Linked DNA regions of Elephas maximus indicus. The protein of the gene in region 4 interacts with the protein of the main gene of each other region in a pairwise test. Links are inferred from orthologs where the notes say so. Each region holds a gene or a part of one and is shown on either strand. Other genes may lie near its edges.

Evidence for each region.
Region 1: the proteins of RBPMS (region 4) and VENTX interact in binary tests that used the Homo sapiens proteins (3 or more experiments, as listed by UniProt). The two-hybrid records come from large-scale screens. The link is inferred for Elephas maximus indicus from reciprocal best matches to the Homo sapiens genes RBPMS and VENTX.
Region 2: the proteins of RBPMS (region 4) and ZNF488 interact in binary tests that used the Homo sapiens proteins (3 or more experiments, as listed by UniProt). The two-hybrid records come from large-scale screens. The link is inferred for Elephas maximus indicus from reciprocal best matches to the Homo sapiens genes RBPMS and ZNF488.
Region 3: the proteins of RBPMS (region 4) and C3H1orf94 interact in binary tests that used the Homo sapiens proteins (3 or more experiments, as listed by UniProt). The two-hybrid records come from large-scale screens. The link is inferred for Elephas maximus indicus from reciprocal best matches to the Homo sapiens genes RBPMS and C1orf94.

Annotation. Positions count from the first base shown.
Region 1 is NC_064834.1:82,821,080-82,828,357, forward strand, and holds VENTX (homeobox protein VENTX), read left to right. Parts: upstream 1-4,312; coding exon 4,313-4,550; intron 4,551-6,022; coding exon 6,023-6,183; intron 6,184-6,267; coding exon 6,268-6,648; downstream 6,649-7,278. UniProt on the Homo sapiens protein: May be involved in ventralization.
Region 2 is NC_064834.1:304,458-312,518, reverse strand, and holds the start of ZNF488 (zinc finger protein 488), read right to left. Parts: upstream 3,137-8,061; coding exon 2,949-3,136; intron 1,946-2,948; coding exon 1,796-1,945; intron 1-1,795. UniProt on the Homo sapiens protein: Transcriptional repressor. Plays a role in oligodendrocyte differentiation, together with OLIG2. Mediates Notch signaling-activated formation of oligodendrocyte precursors.
Region 3 is NC_064821.1:75,208,101-75,215,657, reverse strand, and holds the start of C3H1orf94 (uncharacterized protein C1orf94 homolog), read right to left. Parts: upstream 3,051-7,557; 5' UTR 2,541-3,050; coding exon 2,212-2,540; intron 1-2,211.
Region 4 is NC_064840.1:69,843,245-69,851,295, reverse strand, and holds the start of RBPMS (RNA-binding protein with multiple splicing), read left to right. Parts: upstream 1-4,835; 5' UTR 4,836-5,374; coding exon 5,375-5,440; exon of another isoform or gene 5,441-5,766; intron 5,767-8,051.

The DNA.
Region 1 (7,278 bases), on a different chromosome or scaffold from region 4:
ACTGCCGACCTTTTGGTTAGCAGTGAAACTCTTAACCACTGCGTCACCAGGGCTTCCTATCTCAGGACAAGCTACGTTTCTTTCTCTTCTTTCATTGGTCCTGCTGTCTGTGTGCCCTCTGATGTCCACATTTATCCCTGAAAATGGAACTGAAGTAACTAAGTTCAAAACTAAAAAGAAAAACACAAAACAAAGTTCTGCTCTGACACACCTGGCAGCCCCGTGTGTGTCAGAGTAGAACTGCTCTATAGGGTTTTCAGTGGCTGATTTTTTGGAAGTAACCAGGGCTTTCTTGCAAGGCACCTCTGGGTGGACTCAAACTTCAGCCTTCCAGTTGACGGCCAAGCACGTTGCCCGTTTGCACCACCCAGGGACTTGGCTTGTTTATCTCCCAAGTGTAGCCTCTTTTATATCCATTCCTCTCACTGTGATGTCTCCTACATAGTGTCCCACCAATAGATGGTGTTTTAAATGTTCCCAAATCCCAAGGGAGTTCATGGGGGGCTTGCTGTGTACTGTGGGGCAGTATTTGAAGTGTGTCCTGTTTACCTGGAAAGTGGATTCTAACCTCAGGCAGGCTGGACAGGACCCTCCTGCCTCACTCCTCTCCTGTGGCCCCGTCAGCTGGTTGGGTTGTGTCCTCTAGCATCTCCTAGCTTCCCAGACCATTCCCACCTCCCCCAAGACCCCTTAGGTTTGGTCCCCGGGGCCCAGCCTCCCTGCCAGCCCCCAGTGAAGGGGGAGGGAGGTGTCCCCAAGCCTGCATCCTTGCAGCCTCAGAGGATGGGCAGAAGTGGGGCCTAATGGGGCTGAGGTGGGACGGGTTCCTGATGCTTCCCCCCAGAACAGAAGGCCTGAGCCTGGGACCTCACTCAGCAGACAGGAAACCCAGTGAGGTAGACAGGTCACCCCAGGATCCACTCTAAGGTCCAGCCCGAAGCTTCCCGCACAGGTGGGCTGCGTGGGCTCCGCCTCATCCCACTCACCCTTTCAGAATTTGAGACCCTTCAACCCACCGGGTCATCTCTTCACAGAGTCTCAGCCCAGCCGGGTTGGGGTTGTCCATACGTTGCTCCCCTACACACTCAGATTGTGTCATTTCAGGAGGAGGACAAAGGAGTCAGGGAGCCCTGGAACAAGGAGTGGAGCCTAAGGGAAGGGGAGGAAGGCCATGAGGGGAAGTGGGGGTGTGGAGGGGAGCGTGAAGGAGAGAACCTGACCTGCAGCAGGAGGGAGAAGCAAGACCCACCCCCTCCCCAGTGATGATGGGGGCACACAGCTGTGGGCTGAAGTGAGAAGGGCAGGGTGGGCAGTGGTACAGCCAGTCAATGTGGAGAAGGGGTTGTAGAGTGAGGTGTCCAGGGGGCACCTGGATGGATGGAGGACAGGCCCCTGGGAAGAAAAGGTTTGAGTGGGAAGTCTGACTTTAGAAGTGTTGTATATTAGGGGTGGGAGTTGCTTCCAAATCATGAACACAATTTGAGAAGGTGTCTGTGGAGCCAGGGGGAGTAGAGCGGGGATTAGTTAGGGAGGCCTGAAGCCCAGGGCTCACCCCTCCCCAGTGCAGGCATCATCACACATTGCGAGTGGGAGGCTGGGCTCAGCCGTCACCCTGCTGAAACATGGCTCCGGCAGGCTCTGTGGAGCCCACACCAGTGTGCAGGTGTGGGGTTCAGGAGATGGGTCTGGGCTGAAGCCACCAGGTCTGAGCTGCTATCCGGGCAAGGAGGTCTGCGTCTGTGGAGCAAAGGCTCCAGCCTATGTTTGTTTTTTTAATTTTCCAGCCTACATTTAATCATTTGGAGGAATGGTGGGCAAAGGGGCCTAGAGCAGTAGAACACTGGTGCAAGGGGGCCCAGGAGCTGGGCAGGGGAGGGCCCGGTCAGTCCACGACACTGCTGGGAGGCCAAGTAAGCAAACAGGCCTTGGCCATCAGCTCGTGGGGAGAAGGGAACACCCAGGGTATGTGTGGAGGCAAGGGGGGACTGTGATGAGGAGTGCTGATGGGGTGACAGGAGACCACCCTGATGGTAAGAGATTGTGGGGAGCTCAGTCAGGAGAGGCCCCCAGACCCCGCTGAGTAGACCTGAGGGTACCTGCAGACTGAGGTGGGACCCTTGAGCAAATTTCTTCCCTCTGTTCAGGGCAGGTGGCCAGTTTAGGCAAATGAAGGTGTTTGCCAGAGAGCAAGGAGGGGCTAGGACCTCAGGTGCACAGGTAGGAAGGTGGAAGCAGGAGCAGTGTCAGAGGAGCACCAGAACCCCACACCCCCCCTCACGGGCATCACTTGGTAGAGCTGGCTCTACAGGCACGGGGGCCAAGGGGCCAAGAAACGCTGGCCCTTAGAGAAATGAACGTTGACCGAGTTTCAGAAAGTGTGGTATGTGCTGTTTTCATGTAATAAGTGCTTTTGAACATGGCAAAAATGTTCAACAAGTGTTCCTTTTTACCTGTGCTTCTCTAGCCTGTTCAGTGCACATTGAGCAATTATTGCGGGGAGGGGGGCTGCTACCCTCAGAGCCTCTCAGACCTCCCTCCCAGAGGCAGGTCCAAGCCTTCCCCAGCGCACCCCTGCAGAAGCAGTGACCAAAGGCTGGGCGGCCAAGGCCCCTGAGGAAGGCCCAAATGGGGGGCCTGACCAGGGCGACCAGCGGGCTCCCAGACCTCGTTTTTTTCCCTCTCCCCTGTAGCCCGACAGGCTCCGGGGGTGGAGGTTGAGGGTGTATGGCCAGGGGAGTACCGAGGGCCTTTGCTATCCACCAGGTGAGTGGGTGTGGAGGACACACTGCTTACGTCCGCTGGTGGGGGGAGGGGGGAGGAGCAGCAGTACGAGCGCCCCAGGACTCCGTGCGCCCTGAGGTGCACCCAGGGCCGCTCCCGGCGGGCTCCCGAGGCATTGCCTCGCCGTGGCCATCGTCGGGGAGCAACAGATGCGATCCAGCAGGGGTCACGGGATAGAGGTCCAGGGAAGGCAACCCCCACCCCCACCCCCGGCACAGGTTGGGGGCGGGAAGCCGGCAGGAAGGAGCAGAGAGAAGCTAGTGATGGGGGAATAGCGGGGAGAGCGAGGCAATGGGCGCCCACCGCGCTGGACCCCGCTGGCTGCGTTGTCGCCTCTCTCGGGCGGCGGCGATTTTGCCGTCCGCTTTCCCCAGGCCAGCGCGGCGCCCGGAACGTGGACGCAGGAGAGTTCGGAGTGAAGCAGTCGCCGGGGGCGGGCTGGGATGGGGGAGGCCTACGTGGCCTGTCTCCCACAAGGAGTGTCGGCTAGCACAGCAAGGCGGGGACACGCGGGGCGGCCTGCTACCTGGGGAGCGGCCGCGTGGCTAAAGCAGAGGTCGGGACCGCGGCAGAGCGCGGTGGCCCGGCGCCCCCTTACCCCGGGGAGCCGTCCGCACCGGGGCCAGTAACCCGCCCTCCCTGCTGCGCAGGCGTGGCAGATCCGAAGGCGGCGCCACTAGCACCGAGTTAGCCCCTGCGGTGGGGCCAGGCCTATGGCCCGGGCTAGGGCGGCGCGAGTCGGCGCCGAGGGAGGGCCAGCCGGAGCCACAGGGGTCCTTCCCTCCCCAGCCAGACAGCCGGCGAGCGGACACAGAGCCGTGCTTGCCTTCTCCTCGGTCAGCGGGGCACCTCTTCCAAACTGAAACCTCTGTCATCTCCCCCCAGCCGCCCTGCAGTCCCAGCTGGGGAGGGGGGCTGGAGAAGCAGAACTTCCTGCCCCCACCGCTTAGCGCCGCTCGGGGCAAGCGGGGGCTGGGCGGCCCTATAGGAGGCAGCCACTCCTCCCCTTCCTCACGGCTAGGGCAGATGAAAGGATGTAACAGGTCCCCAAACCCTCAGCGGGCTGGGCAGCAGCCCCGCCCTCCCCCAGACATCTTGGAGCCGAGGGAGGTGTGAATGGCCTCCTTTGTGCTTCTCAATGAAGGCAATTAGGTACTCCTTATCTGGGGGATTTGCAGCCTCCTAAGCAAACCGACCCTTCTCCCCCCCACCACCCCCCCACCCTCGTTTATAAACTCAGCCCGGCCCTCCTCAGCCCCAGGCAGATCCTGTGCTGGGCCTGGCCAACGTGTCCAATCCTCTTCCATTTTCTGTGTGGCCCCCCGGCCCCATCTGCCCACAGTGGATCCTGTGCCCAGCCCGGCTCACCGGTCCAGCTCCACTCTCATCCTCTGCGTGGCCCCCCGGCCCTGGGGGATCTTCTTTGTCTGGCCCTCTGTGAGTGTTCTGCGTGGTCCCCTGGCCTTCGGGGGATCCTCTGAGTAGCCCCGTCACTTATCCAGTCCTCGGCAAATCCTCCGCCTGACCGGCCATGCCTCCCTCCTCCGACCTGCACCAGGGCCACAAACCACACTCCAGTTTCTTCTCCGTGGACTGGCTAGCCCAGAGCAGCCACTCGGGGCCAATATGCACGTCCAGGCCCAGCGAGGTCTCTTGGAGGGGCTTAACTGCCCCCGTCTGGGTGCCCAGCAGAGGGGAGCCCCCTCAGAACATGGCCATCGATGGGGCTAAGACCCCAGATCTGCGTGTGCGAGGGACACCTGTGGCTGGTAGGTCTTGAAGGGGAAAGTCCTTCCCAGATCGGAGTGGGCGTTGGGGAGGTTCTTGCAAGGCAAGGAACACACGAACACACCCTGTCCACTCGGTGGTTTTTACAGGGCAGTGATGATGTCCCCTTGTGAGTGAGTGAGTGAGCGAGCAAGTGAGCGAGCGAGCGCTTCCCCTCAGAGGGAAGCCACCTGCAGGCACCTCTATGGTACCAGCCCTGCAAGCCCTGCCCTGCCTCGGCCCTCTGCCAGCCACAGCATCTTCCCAGTTCCCAGCTACGTCCAGCCCAGGCCTGCTGCCCGAGGGCACTCCAGTAACTTGTCCTCGTGAAATTACCCCACCCCACACCCAGAGGGCAGCTTGTCTCCCAGCTATGCCTGTCACGCACGGTGGCTCTGGTGTCTTTGTGCATGTGGTCCTCAAGCTCTACACTGAGCCCTTGAGACCCGGGTCACTGGGAAAGACCGTTGCTTCTAAAGCTGTGAGACTGGCCAATGCAGAGAGGTCATCGTTGACCCCCAAAATGAAGGGGGTCTTCACTTGGCTCCAAACTTGAGCCCGTTCTCAGCAGACCTGGAATCTTGGCATTTTAAGAATGCTCCATGGGTGTGATTGAAGTGGCCGCTGGGGCTGGGCTGCAGACCAAGAGGCCACCTTTGCATTTCTGTGCCTGGGAGTCTCGCCTGGGGGCCTGGCCAGCGGCTCCATAATCCTTATCTAACCCTTTGTCATGTGCTGACAAGATTTTTTGCTGTTTGTTTTCTAGTCCATTGTAATTTAATCCATTGTTTTTAGGTTTAAAGTCCTACTTGGTCAACAATGAGATTGGTATCTATGATTTTTAATTTTTTTTTAAAGTTTGAGTGATTCGTTTGGAATAATTTCATACTTGGGTGAAGTGAAATATTTATTGCAAAGACCCACAGCAGGTCCAGGTTAATGGGTGTCTGCCTTGGCTCCCGACTAAATCCAAATGTGAACAAGTCGATGAGAAAGGTTGACCTCCCCTTGGCTCTCTGGGTGCCCCAGGCTTTTGTACGTAGTGGACCCTCCCCGGAAAGTCCCTCTTGCTCTGCCCCATCTGTCCTCATCTGGTGAATTGGCTGCAGGGAAAAGAAATTGCTTTCTGGAGGGATGTGAGTGAGGGTGGCTCTAGGTTGGGGCACTGGCTGGTGGAATCTGCACCAGGACTGCCCCTCTCAGCCCAAACCACTCTAACCTTTGTCTCCTTCCTCCAATACACATGTCCTGCTCTGGACCCCCTCCACCCTTGAGCTGGGAGACTGAGCAGGATATTGGAATGGTGGAGTAAGGAGAGAAACTGGAGCTGCCCCTGCTTCAGGGACACAGGGGCTGCCCATCCACCTTTGGCCGCTGCGTCTGCTGCCTAAGTAACCCCGAAGCTCAGGGCAACTTTCACATAGCGGGGAGCATGTCCCAGGTGGGTAGACTCTCACCCATCTTCCCGTTCCAGGGCTGAACAAGGAGCCAGACCCTTTGCGGGCTCCCCGGGTGCGTACGGCCTTCACTACAGCTCAGATCAGCACCCTGGAGAGCGCCTTCAAGCTTCACCAGTACCTGGGCCCCCAGGAGCGGAAGAAGCTGGCCAAAGAGATGCACCTGACTGAGGTGCAGGTGAGTAGGCCATGGGGGGGGGGAGGGGAGGCTGGGTGAACGGGGGCGGTCTGTTCTCACCCCTGCCTGGTTTGTTTCCCACAGATAAAAACTTGGTTTCAGAATCGTAGAATGAAACACAAACGCCAGTTGCAGGACTCACAGCTCAGTGTCCCCTTCTCTGGACCCCTCTACGGGCCCCTGGCCATCCATCCACCGTCTCCTGTCCTGGGTAGTGGCTTGCAGCTGTTTTACCGTGGGGCACCCCTGCCTGCCGCCCCAGCTGTTTTGCTGCCTCTGGGCTCCTTCTGGGGTCCCTGCCCAGTAGAGCAGGTCTTGATGGCCTCTGCATGGAATCCCTGCAGCAGGCAATCTCAGACACACTACCTCCCAGAGCCTGGGGGCCAGGCGCGCTTGTTGGCGCAGGCCTCATCCAGGGGCTCCTGGGGCCTGTGTGATCTACCTGAAACCGAGGGTGCCTTTTGAGGAGGCTGGCAGCCCCGAAAGTGGATGCTTCGCCCATCCCCAGGAGGTGTGTGCAAGGTCTGCCATTGCCCTGAACAGACACTAACTGTCCTTTTCATCACAGCCGCCTCCCACATGGCGGGCCTTGTGTGTGTACGATGATTCATGGTGAGTCCCTACCCTGACCACCTTAAGACTCCAGAGTTTTACAGCTGGAGACATTTTAATGCCACCCCTTCGCTGAAAACTACCGAAAGGGTCAGCATAGGGGGTAACTGATGGGTCAGGGAGCAGAATCAAAGGCCAAAATGGATGTGTTACGCATGGGGTTTTAGCATATGGTAAATGGATAATTTATTCAATAAAAGGTGTTGGAAAAAACTGGTTTTCCTGTTGGAAAAAAAGAAAGGAGGGTCCTCATTCTGCGTGCGGATCAGCTTGGTCTGCAGAGACGAAGTCCGTGAACCGTGAGAAGCAAGTGAGGCTCTACATTTACAGCTTTGAGGTTTGGGTGCCTTTGTAATGGAGCCACCACAGCTGGAAACCAGAAGGGAAATAATGACCCTTTGTCCAGTATAAAGTTGAAGCACAAGGTGGGAGTAGCATCTGCTGCTCCCGGAAGAGGCCTGTGAGTGCCAGGAACTGCCCGGG
Region 2 (8,061 bases), on a different chromosome or scaffold from region 4:
TTCGGTCCTTCACTGAAAGTCGTATGTTGAAGTCTCCTACTATTACTGTGGAGCTGCCTATCTCACTTTTCAATGCTGTTGGAGTTTATGTATCTTGAAGCCCTGTCATTAGGTGCCTATTTAATATGGTTATACCCTCCTGGTTTATTGTCCCTTTAATCATTATATAGTGTCCTTCTTTATCCTTTGTAGCGTATTTAACTTTAAAGTCTATTTTGTCAGAAATTAGTCACTCCTGGTCTTTTTTGATTGTTGTTTGCTTGATTTTTTTTTCATCCTTTGAGTTTTAGTTTGTTTGTGTCTTTAAGTCTAAGGTGTGTCTCTTGTAGGCAGCATATAGACGGATTGTGTTTTTTATCCATTCTGCAACTCTCCATCTCTTTATTGGTACATTTAGTTCATTTACATTCAACTAATTATGGATAGGTATGAGTTTAGTTCTGTCATTTTGATGTCTTTTTGTGTGTGTTGTTGACAGCTTCTTTTTTCACTTTTTTTGTGCCGAGTAGTTTTTCTTTATATATTGTCTTTTCCCCCTTTTCTTTGTTGTTGATTTTTTTTTTTTTTTTTGCTGAGTCTTTATGTTTTTCTTGTATTTTATTTTGATGTGTAAGATTGTTAGTGTCCTTTGTGGTTACCTTAATATTTACGCCTATTTTTCCAAGTTTAAACCTAACTTTTATTTCTTTATATCACCTTGACCTCCTCTCCATAGGAAAGATCTATGACTACATTTCTTTGTCCCTCTTTATTGATTTAATGTTTTCCATAATGACATCGCTGTTTCCCTGCTTTGAGCATTTTTTTATCTTGATATATTTTTGTGATTTCCCTGTCTGGGTTGATATCTAGTTGTTCTGTCCTGTGTTCTAGTCTTGGGTTGATATTATTGTCTAACCAGAGAATTCCCTTTAGTGTTGTAGTTTTGGTTTGGTTTTCACAAATTCCCTAAATTTCTGTTTATCTGGAAATGTCCTAATTTTGTCTTTTATCTGACAGTTTTACTGGATAGATATATGATTCTTGGCAAGCATTTTTTTCCTCCAGTGCTTTATGTAAGTCGTCCCATTGCCTTCTTGCCTACATGGTTTCTACCGAGTAGTCCAAGCTTATTTTTACTGACTCTCCTTTGTAGGTGACTTTTCGTTTATCCTGAGCTGCTCTTAAAATTTTCCCTTTATCTTTGGTTTTGGGAAGTTTGATTATAATACGTTTTGTTGACTTTCTTTTGAGGTCTACCTTACGTGGCGTTCTACGAACATCTTGGATAGATACTTGTTTCTCTCTTATTATACCAGGGAAGTTTTCTGCCAACGAATCTTCAACAATTCGCTCCGTATTTTCTGTTCTCCCTCCCTTTCTGGTACTCCAATCTCTCCTAGGTTATTTCTCTTGATAGACTCCCACATGGCAAAGTGGTTTCAAACATCAAAAAACTGCCTCTACCACACAGCTGGAACAGCTGAAGTCAGATCTCAAGCCCGTATACCGTTAAGAGTCTGCCATCAATGGCCTCAGCTTCTGAAATGGGCCCACACAGATCCATGCAGGGGTGAAAGGTATTCAAAGTCTGCAGACTGTTTGTGCCGGGACAGGAGCCGCTTCTGTCCTGAGCTCCCCAGCTTAGGGGAGCTGGCAGATTATCTTTTCCCCCAATTGTTAATTTATTCCTTCTCCAAGGCCAGGAGAATGGCTTAGGATGTGCAGCAGGACCTATCTCAGGCCCAGGGAAATTGACAGCCACTGAAGCCTGCTTGGGGGTCAGGGACATGGTAAAATCGACATAAGTACTTACATTTTGCCGTGAGCGCTGTTCTCCTCCGATTCTGGAGGGGTGAGTAGAGTGTGCGGCTCATTGTTTCTCCGTGAGGAAACCGCATCCTGAACGCTACCGCCAGCCCCGCTGCCGTCACGCCAGGGGATTGTGCCTGAGGGGCGCTGGTTCCTGCGGAGTCAGGTCCGGAAACTCCTCGTGGCTTCTGAACTATCTCTCCCTCCCCTTGCCACTCAGTCTGATTTCCTAGCCTTGCCTTTGATGTTCAGGGCTCCTAGCTTGTTATATATATATAATTGTTTCACTTGTTTTTTCAGGTCTTTGTTGTAAGAGGGATCACCAGAAGCATCTGACTATGCCGCCATCTTGGCCCCGCCTCCTGTAATAGTGGTGCAGCAGTTAAGCACTTGGCTGCTGAAAGGCTGGTGCTTCGAACCTACCCAGCTACCCAATTACTCCATGGGAGAAAGGCCTGGAGATCTGCTACCATAAAGATTACAGACTAGAAAACCCTATGGGGCAGTTCTTCTCTTTCACAAGGGGTCACTGTGAGTTGAAATCAGTCTGATGACACATAACAAGAACATTCTCATAGCTCAGTGAAACTGTTTTGATTTCAGGGGATGCTACTTTCCCATCTGCTCTGGGAAATAATCATTAGGTAAATTTTCCTCTCGTCATCATTACCACCCCTTGGGAAAGAGACATTCTATCCCCACTCCCCAGAGTGGACTGTTGTAGCTGGAATCTCTGGGGAGCCAAGAGGTCTGAAAGCCAGTCCAGGGCCCTTCCTGCTGGCTGTACAGTGGGCTGGGGGCTTGTTGTTAGCTTCTGGGTCCATCTCACACTACCTGGAGAGACCTACTCCCAAGCCTGGCTGGGGTTTGAACAAGCATCCCCATGAGCTCCACAGGCAAAAGGAGAGCTTTAGACTACAGGGTCGGGGGGAATGTTCAAGCTCTCAGAATAGCTCAGCTTTTGAACAATGTGTGGTTCATTTGATTCGTTCATTCAGTATACATGCCTAAAGCACCTATTATGTGCCAGGCTCCAGTTTACATAAGACTGGTGGTTAACACACTGAGAGAATTCCAAGTTGTTCAAGATGGTGGGAGAGTAGGGTGAGGTGGGAGGTGAATGGGAGCCAAGCTCCAGCGTGTCCTAGAGGCCTTACTTGGAATTTAGAGCAGGAAGTCTGACACATGAATGCCAGTCCTGGTGCATGCCAGATGAAATATCCAAGGTAGGCTCGATCAGAAACAGCAGCCCCAGACTTGCCAAGGATTGGATGCAGACGAACATGGCGATGAAATGCTGCAGGCACAGATCCTTAGGCTCCTGGCCAACACCATAGCTGGCCATGCTCAATGGAGTAACATGTGACCAGGCCTTTGTTGGAAGCTCAGGGCTCCTTTGCTTTCTAAGCATGGGAAAGCTGGAGCTCTGGGCCAAGCACAGGTTAAGAAAAATATTGAGAAAAAAGAGAAACTACATAAAGATGCCTAGCCCCAAACCTTTCCCCACCTGTACCATGGCCCTCAAATTCCTCCAGGGATCCCTAGCCACAAAAATACTAGAAAAAGCTGGCTCAGAAAATTCTTGAAAATTTACCAATTGGCTCTCACAAGCCACCATGAGCTGGGTCCAGCCCAGAAAACCTTTATAACTCACAGGATGCTGGGGAGAGAGAAGAGACCATTTGAGGGACATAGTTCTATGGTTGTGTCCCCTCAGCCTTCCCACAGAGTGAGCTTTATATGTGCCACAATGACAGGTTCTGCTGATTGGTTCAATCCGCAACTATTCCTGACTCCTCACTTGGCTCTCCTGCAATGTAGACATGATATTCATTCATTTATTCAATAATTAGCTATCTCTGCTAGTCCTGGAGGCAGAATGGTGAAAATTACAGAGCTCCTACTTCCTCAAAAACTCACAGTAAGGAAAGAAAATGCCTAGTTATAACAGGGCTGACAAAAGCACTGCATTAGAGGTGCAGGGGAAACACTGCAAGGTCAGGGATGGGGAACCACTGACCATGCAGTGCCAGGGGGGCTGAGGAATGCCCCACTGAGGAAGTGACATTAATTCTGGGTTTTGATGGCTGAATTGGGGCTCACCAAGCCAGACGGTGAAAATGTATAGGCAAAGTCGTAGCAGAAAAGAAGGGTTGGGCATGCTCTAGCCATAAGGAGAAGGTCAAGGGACAGGAGCCCAGCAAGACATAGAAGCCCCCTAATGCTAACATCCTATTCACTCTAAGCCAGACCTGGCCCAATTGTGAAATCCAGCTCCGCTAGATGGTAGGGAAGAAAAAGGGGTGAGGGTCAGAGTCAGGGCTGAAGAGTTGCACAGCTCCTTCTACTGAAGAACACCAACTCCTTGACATCTGTCATGGATTGAATTGTGGTATTTCTGTTATAGCAGCACCAGATGACTACGACAACAGCCAATAACGCTCATGTCCTCATGCTACCCTATAGATAACTTCCCTGGTAACTTTTCCTTGTGTGCAGACTTCCAGGGGACCCTCAGAAAGCTGATTATGAAGTTAAACTTATCTGCAGCAAACACCAAGAGGGTTACCAAGCCAAGCTCAGGGCATAGAAACCAGCATGGGCTGACTGCCCTGGCCACAGAGCCTGTAGCCCTGATATCCTGCTAGACTCGCAGACTCTGGAGAAGGAGACCCCTGGGGACATCATGGGCATGGTAAGCAGCAGCTTCTTGGAAGCTGGACTGAGGGGCCCCTTTTTGCCCCAGATTCATAAACCAGCCAATGGACAGAAGGATTATGTGATCACTATGACAACAGAGGAGTCCTTGGGTGGCACAAACAGTTAAGTACGTCATTACTAGCTGAAGGGTTGGCAGTTCAAACCCACGGAGTCATCTTGGAAGATAGGTCTGCAGATCTGCTTCTGAAAGGTCACAGCCCTGAAAACTCTGCAGTAATTCCCCTCTGCGCACACAGGGTCGTCATGGGTCAGAATTGACTCAATGGCAACTAACAACAAGTGACAATAGTACAGTTCTTGTGCGCAGCAAAAGGTTAACGCACTCCGCTGCTAACTGAAAGGTTGGAGGTTCAAGTTCAACCCAGAGGCACCTCAGAAGAAAGGCCTGGTGATCTACTTCTGAAAAATAAGCCATTGAAAACCCTACGGAGCACAGTTCTACTGACACAGTTGGGGTCGCCAGGAGTCAGAATCGACTCCAAAGCAGCTGGTAATGGTATGACATTAAAGCAGACATCAGATTGCTTTGTTCTGTTTGATGCTACCCAGAATCTTTCCTAATTAAACCCAGTTTCAGTTGGGGAAATTACACGTTTGTTCCCACTACTGGGACTCTCCAAAGCAACTCAGTCCCTGTCTTTTTCAAGCTTAGTTCTCCAGTCCTCCCATTGACACCATCATCTAGATTTTCCTCTCCTGGCCCTCCGGTATCATTTCTAATTAATTCTTCTTGGCTTAAGCTGGCAAGAGCCGGCCTTCGTTGTTTGCATCCACAGAACGCTAACTGCTATAGATGCAATCAACACATGGCGGCTCTAAGCTCTCTTCCATTTCCACCTCCTGGTCTTCAATGCGGAAGAACAGCCGCAGCCTGCCAGGCAACCCCCTTGGACCTGCTGCCCTGGATGGCCTGCCAGAACTCCTGCTGTACCTGCCGGCCCCCTGCAGCAGTTTGCTTATTAACAGAGCCCACACTGCTTTCTTGTGCCACCAGTTCTGACTTGGTGGACAGTGTAATGAGTCTGCACCCTAATTCGGGGCAGCTTTCTTTCCTTGCTGGTAGGCACACTAATGTTTCTCCCCAATCCTCAAGCATTAGGACTCTTTAGGCACCTGGGCACAGAAGCTCTGGCAGGCATGGAGTGATAAAAGCTGGAGCAACAAACACCCTGACAGGTAGGTGGGGGCTGAGCCTAACCCCTGCCCCTGCTCCCACATCTGGGCTGCAGCCACCTCTTCACCAAGCCCTGCCCCCAAAGTGAGTCTCCTAACTCCACTTGCCAAAAGTATTCGTTCTTGACTAGCCTTGCACATTAATCCACTTGCTTCTCCTCTGCTTGCCTGTTAAATATTTGTTAGCTGGGTGCTTGTGCCACATAGGTGGAACTGACTTGAGGTGCGCGTAGTGTGGAAGAGAAGACCTAAAAAATCACAGGTGAGGGAAGTGCACGAGTGACAGGGCACTGAGGAGGAGAAGAAAAGAGGAGCAGGTGGGTGAAGAGGAGGAAAAGTAGAAGAAAGAGGAGGAAGATGAGGGAAGAGGAAGACTAGGAGGAAAGCAGCGGGAGGACGAAGAGGAGGAAACATATGCCAGCTCTACCCTTCAGGCCCCTTCCATGGGACCCTTGGGCCTCTGTTTCCTTTGTCATACCATACTGTGTGCTGCCAGGAAGATCAGAGTCACTCCTAACATCTTTGCCACACAATTCTTCAAAGGGGCTGTCACCGGTATCAGAGGTAACAATGTTAACCTATGCTTCCTGCAGAGGTCAAGGCAGCAACAAAGGTCACTGAGTTCCTCGGAGCAAACCATTTGTCCTCAGTCTACCATCTGTCAAACAGGGGTTGGGTTAAATCACTGCTGGTGTCCTGAGCTACCGGTGTATGATTTCACTGGGAAGGATTCAACTCTGCCCCTGCTGTCCTTCTGGCCTCACTGGCCTCCTGTGTCACCCTCTCCAGATTACCCCATGGGCTGCCATCAAAGCAGCTCAGGCAGCCTTTACCCACCACTGCTGCACAGGCCACTGACACCAGAACTGTCCAGGGGCACCAGAGCCAGAGATGAGGTAGCCCTCTTCTCTGAACTAAAAACTGGGGCATGTGGTCTACAGTAGGATGGAATGCTTACTATCAGGGTGTTTCAAAATATTAAAATAAAGTCTCTGTTCACTGAACACTCCCTGCATGCCAGATGCTTGATACACCTAATTTCATTTAATTGTCACAACTACATGAAGTAAGTTGCCTGTCTCAACCCAAGTGCATTTATTTGATGTTGATCCTGGGAAACTCAACTTCATGTGCACCCTCAACGGGCAAACAGTACTGCATTTATCTCTAACCCATCAAATGCCATCTTGCCAAACTCACCATAGCACTCTGGTTTTCTGAGACCATTATGGGTCTAGATCGTGCCAACTTCAGATACCCCATTCAGCTTCATAAAATGTTGTAATCTAGTCAATACTCCATAAAGGTTGTCATCCAAATCATAATAAGAATAATAATGAGAAGGAGGAAAAGGAGAACACAAAGGTATTGAACTGGCCAGGGACCTCTGGCACATCACCAGGTCTGAGGGTCATCACTATCATTCATCAGCACTACTTGAGGTAAGGCAAGTGCCTAGTGAGCCCCTGCCAGCTCCTCTCCTAAGGATGTACAGACCTTGTGTAAGGACGTACAGACCTTCCCTTTATCTAACATCTTGCCCAGTGTCAACCTCAGACTTCAGCCTGTGAGCTTCTTTCTTTGAAAATAAGGCCCCATCCATCTCCAAGCTTCATTCCCCTCTCCTGAGCTCTCAGCTGACACTGCAGATATGTGACCTCAATTTTGGGGCCACTCCATGCCCTGGCAAGTGACTTCTTGGGTCAGGAAAGGTGATCACATACACAGCAGCTCTGCTCCTCCTTTCCTACGTGGACCCACCAGGCTGTTTTCATCTGGAGGACAGTTCTCTGCCAGATGTTCCACAGGCCACAGACCTGCTCCTTCCTTCTTCTCACTACAAAGGCACCAGCTGGCCTAAGCAATGGATGGGACTATGCATTCTTTGCCCTCCTCGCTTTGAATATAGCATTAAAGATCTTGTTCTCCTCTACTCTCCTCAATAGTCTCAGTTCACTACATCAGCCTGAGACCAGAAGAACTAGATGGTGCCTGGCTACAACCAATGACTGCCCTGACAGGGAACACGACAGAGAATCTCTGATGGAGCAGGAGAACAGTGGGATGCAGACTTCAAATTCTTGTAAAAAGGCCAGACTTAATGGCCTGACTGAGACTAGACGGACCCCAGAGTTCATGGTCCCCGCGCTTTCTGTTAGCCCAAGACAGGAACCATTCCCAAAGACAACTCTTCAGACAGGGATTGGATTGAACTATAGGATAGAAAATGATACTGGTGAGGAGTGAGCTTTTCGGATCAAGTAGACACCTGAGACTACGTGGGCAGCTCCTGTCTGGAGGGGAGATGAGAAGGCAGAGGGGGACAGAAGCTGGCTGAATGGACATGGAGAATACAGGGTGGAGAGAAGGAGTGTG
Region 3 (7,557 bases), on a different chromosome or scaffold from region 4:
AATGAAAAATATAAAAATGGAGAGTTTAATAATAGTACCTACCTCACAATAATTGTGGATGTAAAGCAATTATCATCATTATATTAGGAATTCACAAAACCTAATTATTACCACCAAAAAATCAAACCCACTGCCGTTGAGTCAACTCCAACTCATATTTTTAAATATCCCACTTAATCAACCCAAAAAAACCCTATGAAATGCATAATCATCATCTTGATTTGGCAGATGAGGAAACCAAGATTTCGTGAACTTAAGAAGTCAGGAATCCTGCAGTCACCCCTGGGCTGCAATGTTATCTGAAACCAGAGTTATCTGACTCCACCTTCACCCTGCCTTTATTTCAGTAATAGCTCTTTTTGTTCTACTTGGCTGAGATCTTTACGATTATGATATCATTCATTCATCTAAGCCAGTGGTTTCCTAACTCATTCCTCAGCAGCAGAACCCCTTTTTCCAAGGCAGCCTTACTCAGAACACCAGTAAGGAAAACAGATAAAAGCAGAACAGCTCTGTCGAAGTGAGGTCTGGGACCCAGAAATCAGGCACTTGGCTCCAAGGTGGCCCTGAAGCACTGTAGGGTCTATGGAACATACTTTGAAAACCCCAGATTGAAGCCAACAACAGTAACAACCCAAATCGTAAGAGTCACATAGTAAAAACAGCCTTCATTTGTATAATGCATCTTTTGTTTTCCTGTAGCCCATCACATTTGATACTCATTATCACCTCTGAGGTGGACAAGGCAAGGCACATCATCGTCAATTTGCAGATGAGAAAATCAAAGCCAAATGAAGTTAAGCAACTGGCCAAAAGTGCACCAGTTCCATTGTCGGCCAACTACAGACTGGAACTAGAGTCTGTCTCCATTAACTCCATGTGACCTGGCAGAAAGGGTGCCATCTACTGGAAATTGCTACTGACTCTCGGCCATCAGGAGCTGAGCAGAGCCCCATAAGCCCCTCTGCCAAGGCCCTGTCCCTGAGCAGATGGTTATGGCAGGGGCAAGGGGCTCAGTATCACTGGAGGACCAATCCCATCAGAGCCATGTCGTGTTGAGCACATGGCTGGGGAGACAGTAATAGCCACAGTGTCCTTCACCCTCATCTGCCACAAGTAGGTAAATGCAGCAGGCAGGGCAGATCTGTGTAGCAGTTACACTTTGCCTTTCTTCTAGCTCTTGCTTGGAAATCCCTGAATCCAGAGGCAGTGATAATTGCCTGAATGGCTCCCCAACTCCACAGCATCTCTGAACCGAGCCGGAGCATGTGTTGGGATCGGTAGCACTTAATTATCACTTAGTCTTTATTAGCACTTAATTATTAACACATAATCCATCTGTAAAATGGGGACACTAATATCTGCCTCATAGAGACTCTGGGAGGATTAGTTAACGTTTGCAGTCCACTTTGAAGATGCAAAACATTGAAGAAGTGCTCAACGGTGGCATAAATAACCACACTGGATTTATGTTCTTTTTCTAATGAGGTCCCTTCTTCCTCTCTGCTCCTCCCTCTCCTTTTGATTTTCCATCCCCAACAATATCTGCCCAACTTTGCTCTGTTAGAGAAACTCTGAGCTCCATATTTCCCAGTCATAGGATTCCCTATCTAGGAAATGGGCTATTTACAGCCATCTTTCCACACTTTAATTTTCTATTATGTCCTCTGAATATGTCAATGCCTTCCCAGTAAATATTTTGATGTGAGTTTTTGCAGCGGCTTCTGTGGAGGCTGAATGGGACAGCTGCTCCCTGTATTAGGGAATTCCAGATGTGATTTAAAATTACCAGACTCATCTGTGTGAATGCCCAGCCTTTGAGGGATGGGAAGAAGGAAGGATCTTCTGGTTGACTCTGGGGAAAGCCATGGGCTTCAAAAGAGATAGCCACCTAACCCTCGGCCTTGGCTAGGATGGCTTTTCAAGGACCTCAGACACAAATCTGGTTTAGGTCTGCCTTTAGAATGAAAACATATTCTCTTAGTGGACTGGTGAAGAGGCAGCCTGGAATACAGCCCTGGCCTGATCCTTCATCCACAGCCATGATCAGCTTTTCTCTCTAAAGCATGGACGAAGACCATGGTTGGGGAGGAGAAGTATATAGCTTTAGGATGTAACCTGACTTAACAATGGGCCAGAACATTCCCCCAGCAGGTCAGGTCTCATCTCCTCCCTCTTCCCTTGGTACCATCCAAGCAGGGAGACACTTACTGTTCTTGGAAGCCAAGTCCATTGTTTCTCGAAGTCCCAGGCGTGGGGGCAGAGAGCTGCTCCGTCCAGGTCCTGGGCTGCATGGCCTCAGGCAGGCCCTGAACCCTCTTCCAGATTTCATGGCAGGTCTTGTCTAGGCTGTCTTGGGGTGTGTCATGGTGGATCCAGATGTATCTGGGGAATGGGCCCAGGGCGGAGGGAGGCTTGGCCACCAGGGCCGAGGACGAAGGGAGTCCATTCCCACTGGCCATGCTCCTCCTCTCTCTCTGGAAGCCCCTTTGTCCACCCAGAGCTCGAAGACTGGGGGACCATCCACCACTACCCCTCATTCACCAGGAAGGGAGATGAGGATGGGGCCTGGCAGAGGCAGGTCAGTTCTGTCTGGTTGTTGCTCCAGCAAGGTGACTATGTTCAGAGGCCCTCGATTTGGGTGTGAGTGGTGGTGAGTGAAGAGCTTTCTTTTGGGGAGGGGGAGCTTTGTGTGATTTGTTTTTATTTGCTCTTTCCTGACTTTTGCCCCCCTCCCCCTCTCTCTTAGAAGAAAATACTTAAAAGTCAACAAAAACCAGTAGCTTAGTAACCGTGGAATCCCCGGCAGCTCAGGAAGCAGGCGCCTGGGCGGGCAGAATGACATCTGGGAACAGCTGGAGGGGGAAGGCTGGCTCTCCCCCACAGTCCCTGACACTCCCCCCTTGCGACACACCCCTGGCACCTTGCGGCTGCTGGGGCTCAGCCCATTCTCTCCCACTAAGCCAGCGGATGACCTGTTAAGAGCCTGGCACCGTGTTAGGCACGGTGGGGGCAGGAGGCCACCATTAGAGTCTCAGCTCCGCCTTCCCAGGGACCCCCGCGCAGCCTGAGGGCCAACGGCCCCTGCCTTCCCTCCCCCCGCTGTGTCCCCTCTTGCTCGCCCCACTAGCCCCCGCCTGTACCCTTCTCCAGGGGTTGTTCTGCCGCCCTCTAGAAAGAAAACTTCAGCGGGTAAGTCTGGGGCGCGCTCTGCGGCCTTCCGCAGCCCGCCCCCAGCACCTCCAGCAGACACCTGCCACGTCCTCCGAACCGGGACGCGGGGATGGGCACCAGGAAGGGTCCCTACGCCTTAAAAGGGTGCTGTTTCCGTCGGGAAGGCGGGGCGAGGCGGCTTTGGCCTGTTTGCGTGCCAGTGGCTCTCACGACCTTGCCATCGAGCGGTGGAATTCTTTTTGTGGGTTTCAAATGCAACGGCTGGGTGCGCGGGGCGCCCCAGGTTCGGTGCCCAAGGCCCTCTGCCGCCGCGGGCTGGGGGCGGGTGAGGCGGCGCCCCGGTGGGGAAGCTTTCCCCCATTAGAAGTTCACCAGAGGAGACAGGCTGCGGCCTCGGTCAGCTACCAAACACAAACGTCGCGCCAGCCAGGGGGCCTGCCCCTTTGTCAGCCAGATTTTACCGCTAACTGCCGTTTCAGTCAGGCGCTTGCCGTGTGCCAAGCTCTGAGCTTTCTGCGTTCTCATACTTGATCCTTACAAGCTCCCGCAGTTACTATCGTTTATTATCGGTCTGCATATACAGAAACGGAGGCTCAATCACAAAGGGATATGTCTATGACCAGCTAAGAAATGGGGAGCTGGGATTCAAACTTGGGCACTCTAGGCCTGAGCCACTGAGATAGACAGCTCTTTCCTGTGCTTCATTGAACTCAGAACTGAATCAGCAAACTCGGACAGGGGCTCTCTAGCCTCAGGACTCAGTGGTTGTTCCTCCAGAGTTTCCCCAGAGAAGGAGGAGCAAGAGGTGAAGAAAGGAGAATGGATGCAAATAGGCCAGCTGGCAGCCTAAGGAGGTAGGGCTGGGTTGAATCCTGAACTGTCACTTCCAAGCCCTGTGTCCCTGAACAGCTTTCTTGACTTCTCTCATCCTCATTCATTCATCCATTTCCCAAATATTGGCTGAACGCTTCCTCCATGCCTTGCTGGGAATTGAGGAAACATGAGAATAAACAAAAAGCATGGTCCCTGCTCTTATGCAGCCTATAATCTAATGGAGGGAGATAGACCACAGACTAGCCAAGCAAGTAAATAAACATTAATTATAGATTCCTGGTGATTCAGTGGTTAAGTGTTGGGCTGCTAAGGGGAAAGGTCTGTGGTTTGAACCCATGAGCTACTCTAGGAGAGAGATGTGGCAGTCTGCTTTTGTAAAGATTACAACCTTGGAAACCCTATGGGGCAGTTCTACTCTGTCCTATAGTGTCGCTCTGACTTGAATGCGACTTGATGGCAATGGGGTACAGATCCCTGCATGGCACAAAGGGTTCAAAGCTTGGCTACTGGGTGGCACAGGCAGTTTGCACTTAACCGCTCACCTAAGAGTTGGAGGTTCCAACCCGCTCAGTGGCTCCATGGAAGACAGGCTTGGAGATCTGCTTTCATAAAGATTATAGCCAAGAAAACTCCATGAAGGAATTCTACTTTCTAACACATGGGGTCCCCATGAATTCGGGGCTGACTATAGCAGCTAACAACAACAACAACAACTAACCCTAAGACAATTCGAATGCATCCGGAGGTGCTTCTAAAGGCCTGATACTTCTGAAATGCAGTGTTGTTCCACTTTGAAACACATGTGGTCACCGAAAGTTGGAATCTACTTGAAGGCAACTGGTTTGGTTTATTTATTTATTTATGTTTAAGAGATGAAATAAGGGGCACGTAGTGGTTAAAAAAAAAATTTTTTTTTTTTTTTTTTTTTTTTTTAGTGGTTAAGTGCTACAGCTGCTAACCAAAGGGTCGGCAGTTCAAATCCGCCAGGTGCTCCTTGGAAGCTCTATGGGGCAGTTCTACTCTGTCCTGTGGGGTCGCTATGAGTCGGAATCGACTCGACGGCACTGGGTTTGGTTTTTGGTTTGGTGATGGAAACCAACAAGTGAGGCATGAGGAGGGGAAGGGGAGAGGGAGAGAAAGAGGGAAAAGGGCAACATTAGATGATGGTCCAGGCAGGCTTCTCTGAGAAAACAGAAGCATGAGAGTCCTTTTTCTGTTAAAATGGTGTTCATTATCATGGGAATAAAATTTCTGGCACACAGTAGGTACTCAATAAATATGTGTTGAATGAATTAATGGTATACTGTATGTAACGTGCCTGGCATACAGTAGGTGCCCAATACACGACCGTGCTCTTTACAGAGGAGCTGAGTTCCTAGAAATGTTGACTCTAAATTTTGAAATCCGAGTTTCATTCCCCTTTGATTTTCATTATAAAGTTGAAGATGTGTTCCTTTGGGGAAAATTCTGAGGACCTAGACTGAATAAAATTATAGTTAAGAATGTAGAAAACCTTTTAAGATAGTGTATTTAAAGGAAAAGTGATCATTTCTGATGAAATATTAATAGTTCTGAAAATGTCACTCAGTGTTTGTGCTGCTTGGCATTTGGTTGGCTAACACCCTATGCTTAGAGCAGAACGCCAACAATCCTGCGCTGCCCAGACCACAGATTCTGGAAAGTTAGCCAGCTTACTCACTCCTCCTGTTCTCTCTCCTCTTCAGCAGGAGACTGGGCAACAGGGTCTAAATCAGAAAGGATTAGGAAAAAAAAAAAAATACAGTAGGGACTGTGAATGAAGGTTTGCTTCTTGGAATATACAGCTGAGGTTTCTAGAAGATTCTGCAAAGACCTCAAGTAATGTACTTAGAGAAAGTATACGCTGCATTTTCCAATATGATAGCCACTAGCCACATATCTGTTTTAAATTTAATTAAATATATTTAAATAGAGTTAAAAATTCACTTCCTCAGTGGCACAGGCCACATTTCAAGTACTCAATAGCCATGTGTGGCTAGAGACTATACCATAGTGAACAGTGCAGAAGATATTTCCACTATTGCAAAAACAGATTCTTAAGCCGGACTGCCTGAGTTCAAATTCTGAGTTCAAATTTTCTGGCAATGTCAACTTAGACAAGTTACCTAACCTTTATGTGCCTTCATTTTCTCATCTGTAAAATAGGGATGATAATAAAGAACACCCACCTCATAGAATTGTTGTACCTGTGTAGATGTTCTATTATCAAGTAATTACTAAACACATGGAAAGTCCCAGGAACAACACCTAGCCCATAAAAGTGTTGTAGTTTGCTTGCTGATTACATTGAAATGCGTATCTCCAAATCACAGGCCTTCATGTTATGTGTGAGGAGGGAGAACTTCACTTGTACTTTTAGGCGTACTGGGGAAATTGCTCTGTGTTGGAGGAATGGAATCAAAGCATCACCTGAGCCTCCCAAGGATCTGTTCCTTTTGAGTATTCATTTTCTGCAGCTTCTGTTAACAAACTACCACAGACTTGGTGGCATAAAACAAGAGGAATTTATTTTCTCACAGTTTTGGAGGCCAGAAGTCCAAAATCGAGGTGTTGGCAGGGCCATGTTCCCTTCAGAAGCTCTATAGAAGAATCCTTTCTTGCCTGTTCCAGCTTCTGGTGGCTCCAGGCATTCCTGGGTTGTGGCTGCGTAAGCCCAATCTCTGCCTTCATCCCTTCTGTGTCCCAAATCTCCCTCTGCTTTTCTTTTGTAAGGACACTTGATTTAGACCCCATGAAGATGATTCTGGATGATCTTGTCTCAAGATCCTTAACTTAATCACATCTACAAAGACCTTTTTTTTTTTTTTTCCTCCTAAATAAGGCCACATTCACAGATTTTAGGGATTAGGATGTGGGCATATCTTTTTCAGCAGATGGCACCTTTCAGTTCACTGTGAACACCTACTGTGTGTGGGTCAAGACTGTGCAAGGTACAGGAGTTAGAGATGAGTAAGACCTCTACTCTAGACAAAGTCACAGTCTAATTAGGAAGGAAAAACATTCCATAAGTGCCTGATTGTAAAAACGGGCTAGTAGTAGTAATAGTAACACCATCACCTATCTAAATTCAGGGGAGACAATGTGAATCACCATCAGCAAAAAGCTGATCCCTGTGAGGTAGAAGTCAGACATACCTCCTATCTCCAACCTTTTAACCAATTCTGACACCAGCCATCCCTCCCATGGCACTCTCTACTGCTCATCTGGGTTTGATAACCCATTGCAATGACCACACAAAATGACCACAAAAAACTCACAGATTGTACTTACAGTTGAGTGGTTTATTAAGGAACAGGGTGCCACTCGGGATCAGGATCAACAGGCTACAACTCAGGATCAGGACGTATGTAGGTAAAGACTCCGTCTTCACTGCAAGACTCCTCTCTCAGCTTCTCTCAGTTGTGCAGGCCTCCTCTCAGCACTGCCACTGGGCCCCTTTAGGGCTTGTCACCGTCTTCAGTGTTATAGTCCTTGACCTATTTTACAGCTCCTTTAGAAGGTTCCTTGCCT
Region 4 (8,051 bases):
GCTGCTAGAGTTTCCTCAAATGATTAGAGGGAAGTGATTGGATCTGAGAACTACTTGGGAGGTAAGATCAGGGGGAGACAGTGATGGCCTGGAGGTGAGTGGTGTGAGGGAGGGAGAGGTGTGAGGATGGCAAAAATCAGCAAAGCACATCCTCTGGCCTCAGGACCTTTTTGGTACAGCATAGGATACAGAAGTTAACAATCACAACACATGTGGTAGATACGCAGCCTTCTACCTCAGAGCTAACACAGGTACAAAAACCCATGCCGCACAAATAGCCTCGGAATAGACCTTTAATGTCTGCAATTCTCAGAGACAAACACGTAAGACATAATTACAGGTTTGCATTTCTTAAAGCAAGCCTCCAAATGAACACTGCCAGAGAAACAGAGATGAGTAATAAAAAATACAGGTGTGTACAGTATTTCCCTTTCAATCTAGCATGTCGCTTTGTAGGCCAGACAGCTGTGCGGTAGGGTGGTGGGCAGGGGAAGAAGCAGATGTTACTTGGTCATTAGCCCAATTTTTCCAGGATATAAAATCCCTTCGTTGTCTTATAATTATATTTATGTGTCTGGAAACTATTGCTACTGAGGCGATCTCATGTTTGAAACTTTTCTTCTTTGAAGTAGTGAACAGGTCATAAAGACCATTTATATCCTGACATTTTCCTCCACGCTGTCAAACTCTTTCCCCTCACTCCCAAAGTTTTATAAATAGCAAGAGTCTGTTTACAGATTCTCATTGGGTTTTGTTTGGTAATACGTTACTCTATCATTCTTCTAAATAAGTCTAAACCATGCTTTATGGAAAGGATAAAAAACCGGAATCCCTCTTTTCCTGGCATATAATTCCATCCGTACGTGCTCTTCCGAAAACATCTTCAATTTCACTCTCATCATTGACGGTAATATTCTAGGTCTCCCTGCTTGATTGCAAACTACCTGATGTATCAGAAGGAACCCCGGTGGGGCAATGGATTGCTCGGCTGCTAATAAAAATGACAGTGGTTTGAAACCACCAGCCACACCCCAGGAGAAAGATGTGGCAGTCTGCTTTCTTAAATATTTACACTCTTGGAAACTCTATGGGCAGTTCTACCCTGTCCTTTAGGGTCGCTATGAGTCAAGATCTAATCCATGGCAGTGGGTAACCTGGTGTATCAATTGTTGTTGTTGTTAGGTGCCATTGAGTTGGTTCCGACTCATGGCGACGCTACGTACAACAGAATGGAACACTGTCCGGTCCGGGGCCATTCTATTGTCCAGACTTTGCAAGCATATGAGATCGAAAATACTATGGCTTGGGTCAAGCACACCTTAGTGGCATCTCAAAGGGACATCTGTGCTTTTTAACACTTTAAAAGGTCTTTTACAACAGATTTGCCCAATGAAATACCTTGTTGATTTCTTGACTGCTGCTTCCATGGGCGTTGATGGTGAATCCAAGTAAAACAAAATCCTTGACAACTTCAATCTTTTCTCCGTTTATCATGATGTTGCTCATTGGGCCAGTTGTGAGGATTCTTGTTTTCTTTATGTTGAGGTGTAATCCATACTGAAGGCTGTGGGCTTTGATCTTCATCAGTAAGTGCTTCAAGTCCTCTTCACTTTAAGCAAGCAAGGTTGCATCATCTGTGTGTATTGCAGGTTGTTAATTAGTCTTCCTCCAATCCTGATGCCCCGTTCTTCTTCACACAATCCGGCTTCTTGAATTATCTGCTCAGCATACAGACTGAATAAATACGGTGAGAGGATACAACACTGAGGTGTGTGTCAGAATGTATCAATATAGTGCCGTGATTTTATTTTTTCTTTCTTGAAATCTCGTTAGGTGCCCCACTGTGTACAAGGTCTCTATCTAGAGTCTGCCCCTTGGAACAAAATAATGAGTAGAAATCACTGCCATGACGTTATGGGGGCTCTCCAATCTCAGATGTCCCCACTAATTTGGTCCTTCCTGCCGGATCTTGGAAGGATCTAATTCATTCAGACTAGAGAATCAATAACTGATGACTTAATGTGTTAATTCATTAAAAATTAACTATTGAGTGCTTACTATGTGTTCAGGAGTCCTGGTGTTGCTACGGTTAAGCTCTCAGCTGCTAAGCAAAAGGTTGGCAGTTCGAACCCACCAGAAGCCCTGCGAGAGAAAATGTGGAGATGTAGAGATTACAACCTTGTAAACCCTATGGAGCAGTTCTACTCCGTCCTATAGGATCTCTATGAGTTGGAATCGACTCTACGGCAACAGGCTTGGTTGTTTTTGGACAACGTGTTTGGCACTGTCTAGATATTGGGAATGCAACATTGAACAATCTAGACAAAGATCCTCTCATGAAACCTATTCTTGTTTTTTATCCCGGAGGTTTTTGACTTTTAACAGTAGACAAAGTCCTGGCTTGGCTGAAAGACAAAAGAATCAGGTTCTACTCTGAGAATGAAGCTACATTTCCCTGTGTAGGAGGACGTGAGGTTTTCCCAGCATCCTGAACTCACACAACGTATTCCACCTACTCATCAGTGGGGTCTGACTGGAACCATCAATGACTACATCAACTGTCACTTTTCTTGAGCGTTTGCCAGGCTCCAACAAGACAATCCCCTTCTGTGGAGTGTCCTCAGTAACAGGCAGGAATAGCCAAGGAGGACAAAGTTCTGCCATTATTGACCATCTCTGGGGCCCAAGACCACCACACAATCATTGCTCAGGAAGACATTGCCCCCTTGTGGTCACCTCTAACCTTTATAACTGAGGGAGAAGCTGGCAGTGGAAAGAGCTCCCAATTAAGACAAATGAATAATCAAAACAAGGACAAGTGAGTTACCAAGTTTTAGGAACAAAATAACCCTTGTCCTTCTCAGCTTCTTTAATTGTAGTTTCAATAAACTCTTGGTTTAGTTTCATCCAGGATTCACTTTTGTTACCATAGAGAAATGATATTACGACAGCAATTAAAGAAAAACATTTTTTTTCTTACAGAAGACCTTATCCTTATCAAAATCTTCAGATCACCAAGTAAAACCCAATATGTAAGTCCAAGTATCACTACTGCTTTTCTCTTCATGGTATGCTTGAAGCAAGTATTTTCTACATTTAGACAATTAAACTGCTTTTGACAATTTAAACCAGAATTCTGCAATTACGTTGCTGTGGCGTTGTTTTGGGTATCTTGTCTCCACAACACCACTTTAAACTTCCCAAAGGCAGAGGCCTCATCTGCAAGCCCTACCACACTTGCAACAGCACGTAAACCAGTATACTAGGGTCCAGAATGTCCAGTGGGGGAGAAAGAGATAACGTTACAAAAGCAAATAAACAAAAAATAAGTGATTAGAAATTGTGATTTCTGCTGTGAAAGAACAGCATCATGTGAAAGAGAATTCCTAGCAGTGGCAAGCGGGGGGAACGTACCGATGTGGAGTTTTAAACTTATGTTTGCAGCAGTCAAGTTGGAAAGCTTAAAGGAGCCAGTATTGGAGAATCCCTCCAAGGCCCAGCAGAAATGGAACTTTTCTTAATAATCATGTTGGCTTCCATATATTGTGAACTTCGGCTGAGCAAGAATGGCTGTTGGGTGCTACATTTTTATCAATCTATCTTGTTACTGTTGGTTCTGATTCATGGCGACTCCATGTGTGTCAGAGAACAACTGCTCTACAGGGTTTTCAAGGGTGTGACCTTTTGGAAGCAGATTGCCAGGCCAGTCTTCCTTGGAGCCTCTGGGTAGGTTCCAACCACAGATGGCTAGTAGCCCAGCGCTAACCTTTTGTGCCACCCACGGGCCTCTCTATCAATCTATAATCTTCTTCAATTCGCATGACCCTGGGAGATAAGCATAGCTATTTCTACTTTACGGAGACTGAAACAGAAGCCATGCAGTCCTTCCAAGGTTGGTGTACAGTGAAGGGTTTTTTTTTTTCTTCTGCATGCTTCGAGCCATCTGAAGATCAGCTCTACTGACCTCAAGTTCTGCTTAGACTGAGGAATGTTCACTTGGCCAACAAATATTTATTAAGTGCCTACTATATACCAGGTAGTGTATTTAAATAGCCGTGGGATTAAAAAGATAAACAGGGCACGGTCTTTGTCTTCTTGGAAGAAACTCCGGGAAGAGTGAGGAAAACAGCCAGGTAAACAAATAATTCCAAAGAGCCTGATAAGGGCTGTGGGAGGTCTGAACAAGAGCTATGAGGAGCCCAGAGAGCAGCAGCCCGTGCAAGGAGGCTGGAGAGGCTTCGGTGGACCGGACGTTCGTGGTGGGCTTGAAACTGCGCTTTAAAAAGCCGGTTGGGAGCAGGCTGCCCCAGGGTGTCTCTCCAGTTCCTTCAGGCCGTCATTTCAAACTGCTGGCTGAAGGGAAGAACTGTGCCTAAACGAGTAGTAAAAGAGGGTAGACTCAGGGACAGGGGTGCAAATCCCTCGCGGAAAGCCAGCAAGCTAAAGTAGCACACCCCAGTTCCCGCTCTCCGCACTGGCAGGGCCTGTTTCCCCGAAGCCCCTCTCCAAGCTCACGCGCACGGACACGCGAGTTCGCAACTCGGACCCCGCTCGGCCGTGGGGCGCAGCGGAGCCCGTGAGCCCGCGGCGCTGACCTTCCCCCCCTCCGGTGCCTTCGCCCTCGGACCTACCGCGAAGTCGCGGGCTGGGGTCGGCCGCTCCCGCCCGCCGCACGCCGCCCCTCCCCGGCGCGCGCCATCCGGCCGCCCGGCAGCCGCCCTCGGTGCAGCCCCTCCTCCCGCGGGGGGCTCCGTCGTCCCGGTCCCGTCCCTCAGGGCTGAAGCCCGCAGCCCACGTCCTGGGAGGGCGGAGGGAGGAGGAGGGGAGAGGAGGGCAGAGGGGAGGGAGGAAGGCGAGAGAAAGGAGGCTGCTCCGATCGCGTCCGCCCAGAGCCAGCCAGCAGCGCGCACTCGGCGGCTCTCCGGCCCCTGCGCCCCAGCCGCCCCGAGCCCGCGCCCGGCGCCCGCACCAGCTGCTCCTCTCGGGCGCCCCTCGCGCTCCCCGCTCCAGCGCCCGCAGGCTCGGCAGCGCGGCCCCGGCCCCAACTCCAGCCCCAGGCTTTCCTCCTTCCTTCCCTCGCGCCCGCCGGCCCGCCCTCCAGGTCTCACTCCCGGGTCCCGATTGTCTCCGTTCCCTTCTCAGTCCGCCCTTGCCCTCGCCCTGCCCGGTCTCTCCCTCGCACTTCCTGAGTCGCCGGCCGCCGCAGCCTCGCCGCGCCGCGGGAGCCCGCGCAGCCGCTGCCCCAGCTCCAGCCTCCGCAGCCGGCGGCGCCCCACCCGAGGGAGCCCCGGTGCCCCGGGAAGGGAAGAGTGGGCGAGCGCGCCCTCGCCCAGCCCCGCGCCCCAGCCCCGCCCGGGAAGAAAGGACCGGGAAGATGAACAACGGCAGCAAAGCCGAGAAGGAGAACACCCCGAGCGAGGCCAACCTTCAGGAGGAAGAGGTACCGAGTGGCCCGGAGCGGTGGTGGGTGCGACCGGGGGCGCGAGCCGCTGGCTTTCTCCAAAGTGCCGGGAGGGAGAAGCCGGCGGGGCGCGGGCGCTTGTCCCGGGGCGACGGGCTGGGTGCCCCTGGAGGTTTGAAATATTGTCCTTGCCCCAAGACACAACCCCACAATTTGGCCCCGGGAGGGTGTATCTTTGGAGTGTGTTTTTGTGTGTCCACGCGCGTCTGCGTGCCTAAAATTGCGTAACTTTGAGGACTTCTCGGAGACTTCTCTAAGTATAATGATCAGCTTTGTTTGCTTGGGATTTTAAAAGAGGAATTGAGAGGTGACTCCTGGGTGACCTCAGATTATTAGGACCCGCAGGGTCAGGGTTTAGTTCTGCGTTTGAGATTGGAAGTTATAGTGTGTGGGTGTTGTAAGAAAGGCGGGGACAAGTTCTCGTTAAAAGATACCTTCTGTCCCCCGCCCCCCTCCCTTTCGGTGTTAAAAGTTCTTGGTGAAAAATCTTTCAAGCGGAGGCATTTTGGTTGAATAGATAACTCATTAGCCTCATTCTTTGATGAGTCAAAGACCCCGAACCTGGGCAGTTAGCTTTTGCAAATTTAGGGACGATGGAGATGTGGGAAGACGAATAAAAGGGTTAAAAACCTAACAGTTCACCAAATGACCCTTGAGGCTATTTCTGAACATAAATTTTAAGTGATTTGTCGGTAGTAACGGTAGAACTTTGCGGCTGCGAAGCGTTCCTTTGGTGGAAACAACAAAGCTCAGTAAATGTAGGGAGGGACTCAAACTTTTCAGGATTTTGTATATAGGATATTTGTGGTACCCTATTAAATAGCTCCGTTCAGGCAGGTACAGAATCTAGGATGCAAAGAATAGTATTTTTCTCTTACTTTTTAAGATCTCAATCGCCTGAATTCTTAAACATTTTAAGAGTTTGTGCAAATGCTAGAAAGTATGTGTCTAGATCTGACCTAGATACCATTGTTAGGTCTTGCATCCTAATGTATAAGGTGAATACAGTGGTAAGCCAATTCAGAGTGATTCAGAAACTGAGATTATTATTGTAATACTGTGTGTGCAAACAAATTCAGATAGTGAAACCAAACGTGGGGGAATTCATTAATACACACAAGCCAGCTGGATATTGTCTGTCTGTTATATGGGAACCACTTCAACGTGGAAGATAGAGAACTAAGACAATGTAAAATGATGGAAAATAAATGTAGGATTCTCCTCTTTAACGTTTGTATGATAGTGCAACCTAGGTGAATTGTGGTGAGATGAAAATTGCCTTTTCACTTGAGGAAATTATCTATTTTATGATGAAGTATTATTTTGAAAAGTTTTCTTCGCATGTTTTATTACAAGCGAAGTAATACTACTGATATTTCTTTACTTTTTCAAAGAGCTGGAAATTTGAATCGCAAGTTCCACTTTTTTTTTTTTTTTTTTACTGGTTGCTTTGCTATTTATTTCCCTATCACTTAAGTAAAATTTAAAAAATGATGGCAAGTTTGTATTTTTAAGGAATGCAATGTGTTTAATCCGCTTAACACACCAAGACAATCATTGCTTTCGTTAGATATTTGTTTCACTTACATGGGCAATCTCTTTACTTCTAGGGGTAAAAACAGATACTACGAAACCATCTTTCTCTCATCATCCAGTTGTGAAAACTTGTAATTGGGAAAAAGTTGATCAGGCACACCAAAGATTATTTTTTGCTTTTGGTAGGCAGCAAAAGAAGTTTGAGTGTTCCAAAAACATGACCCACTTAATGAAATTAAGTAGAGAAAAGTCACATTTTTCTGCTGGACCTGTCTCAACTGCTGCCAGGACTGAGGTTAGGCTGCCTTGTTCCTGAGAGCCTTACCATTAATGTGTGTGAAATTGCACACCAATACAACCACAGGCAAGCTCGGGACAGTGACCGCCTCCTACCTGCCCAGTTGCCCTGTCTGTGTTCCTCTTCAGGTAGGAATGACATGTGGCTCTAAGAAAGTGTCACTATGTTTATCAAAACTTTTGTTATTTTAAAAATAGGTGGGGAGCCTCAGGAAGATTTCAGAACTCCGGTTGTACAAGAGATGGGGTGTATAAAACACACACCGTGAAGACCGGGTCTGTGTTAGGAATTCAGGAAAAGAAAATAGTGGCCCTGAATAATCCAGGAAATTTTGCTCCAGTTTCCAGTTTTGGGTTTTGTTTGTTTTTCGAAGACTCCTAACCCCCTTTTCTCCCCTAACCGTGAAAGCCACAAGTAAAATAAATGGTATTTGGTGAGTTCCATTAATGTCTTGACATGATACAAAACCACCACACACAGGACTCTCTCCCTGCCCACCCACTGGATCAGCAGTTCTTTCTCAAACACATTTAAAAGCCTTGGCAAAGGACTCTAGTAAACAGAACACACACATATAAAATGTATATATGACGCACAGCGACAAGAGAGGAAAAATGTGTTTTGTTGTAGTTTCTCATGGCTGTTGAACTGACATGGAAAAGTGAGTCCAATCCTAAAGAGCAAATAGTTTATTTCACAGATTCATCAGAGGTTTATTTATATATATATTTTCTATTTTTTTTTAAAGTGGGCTCC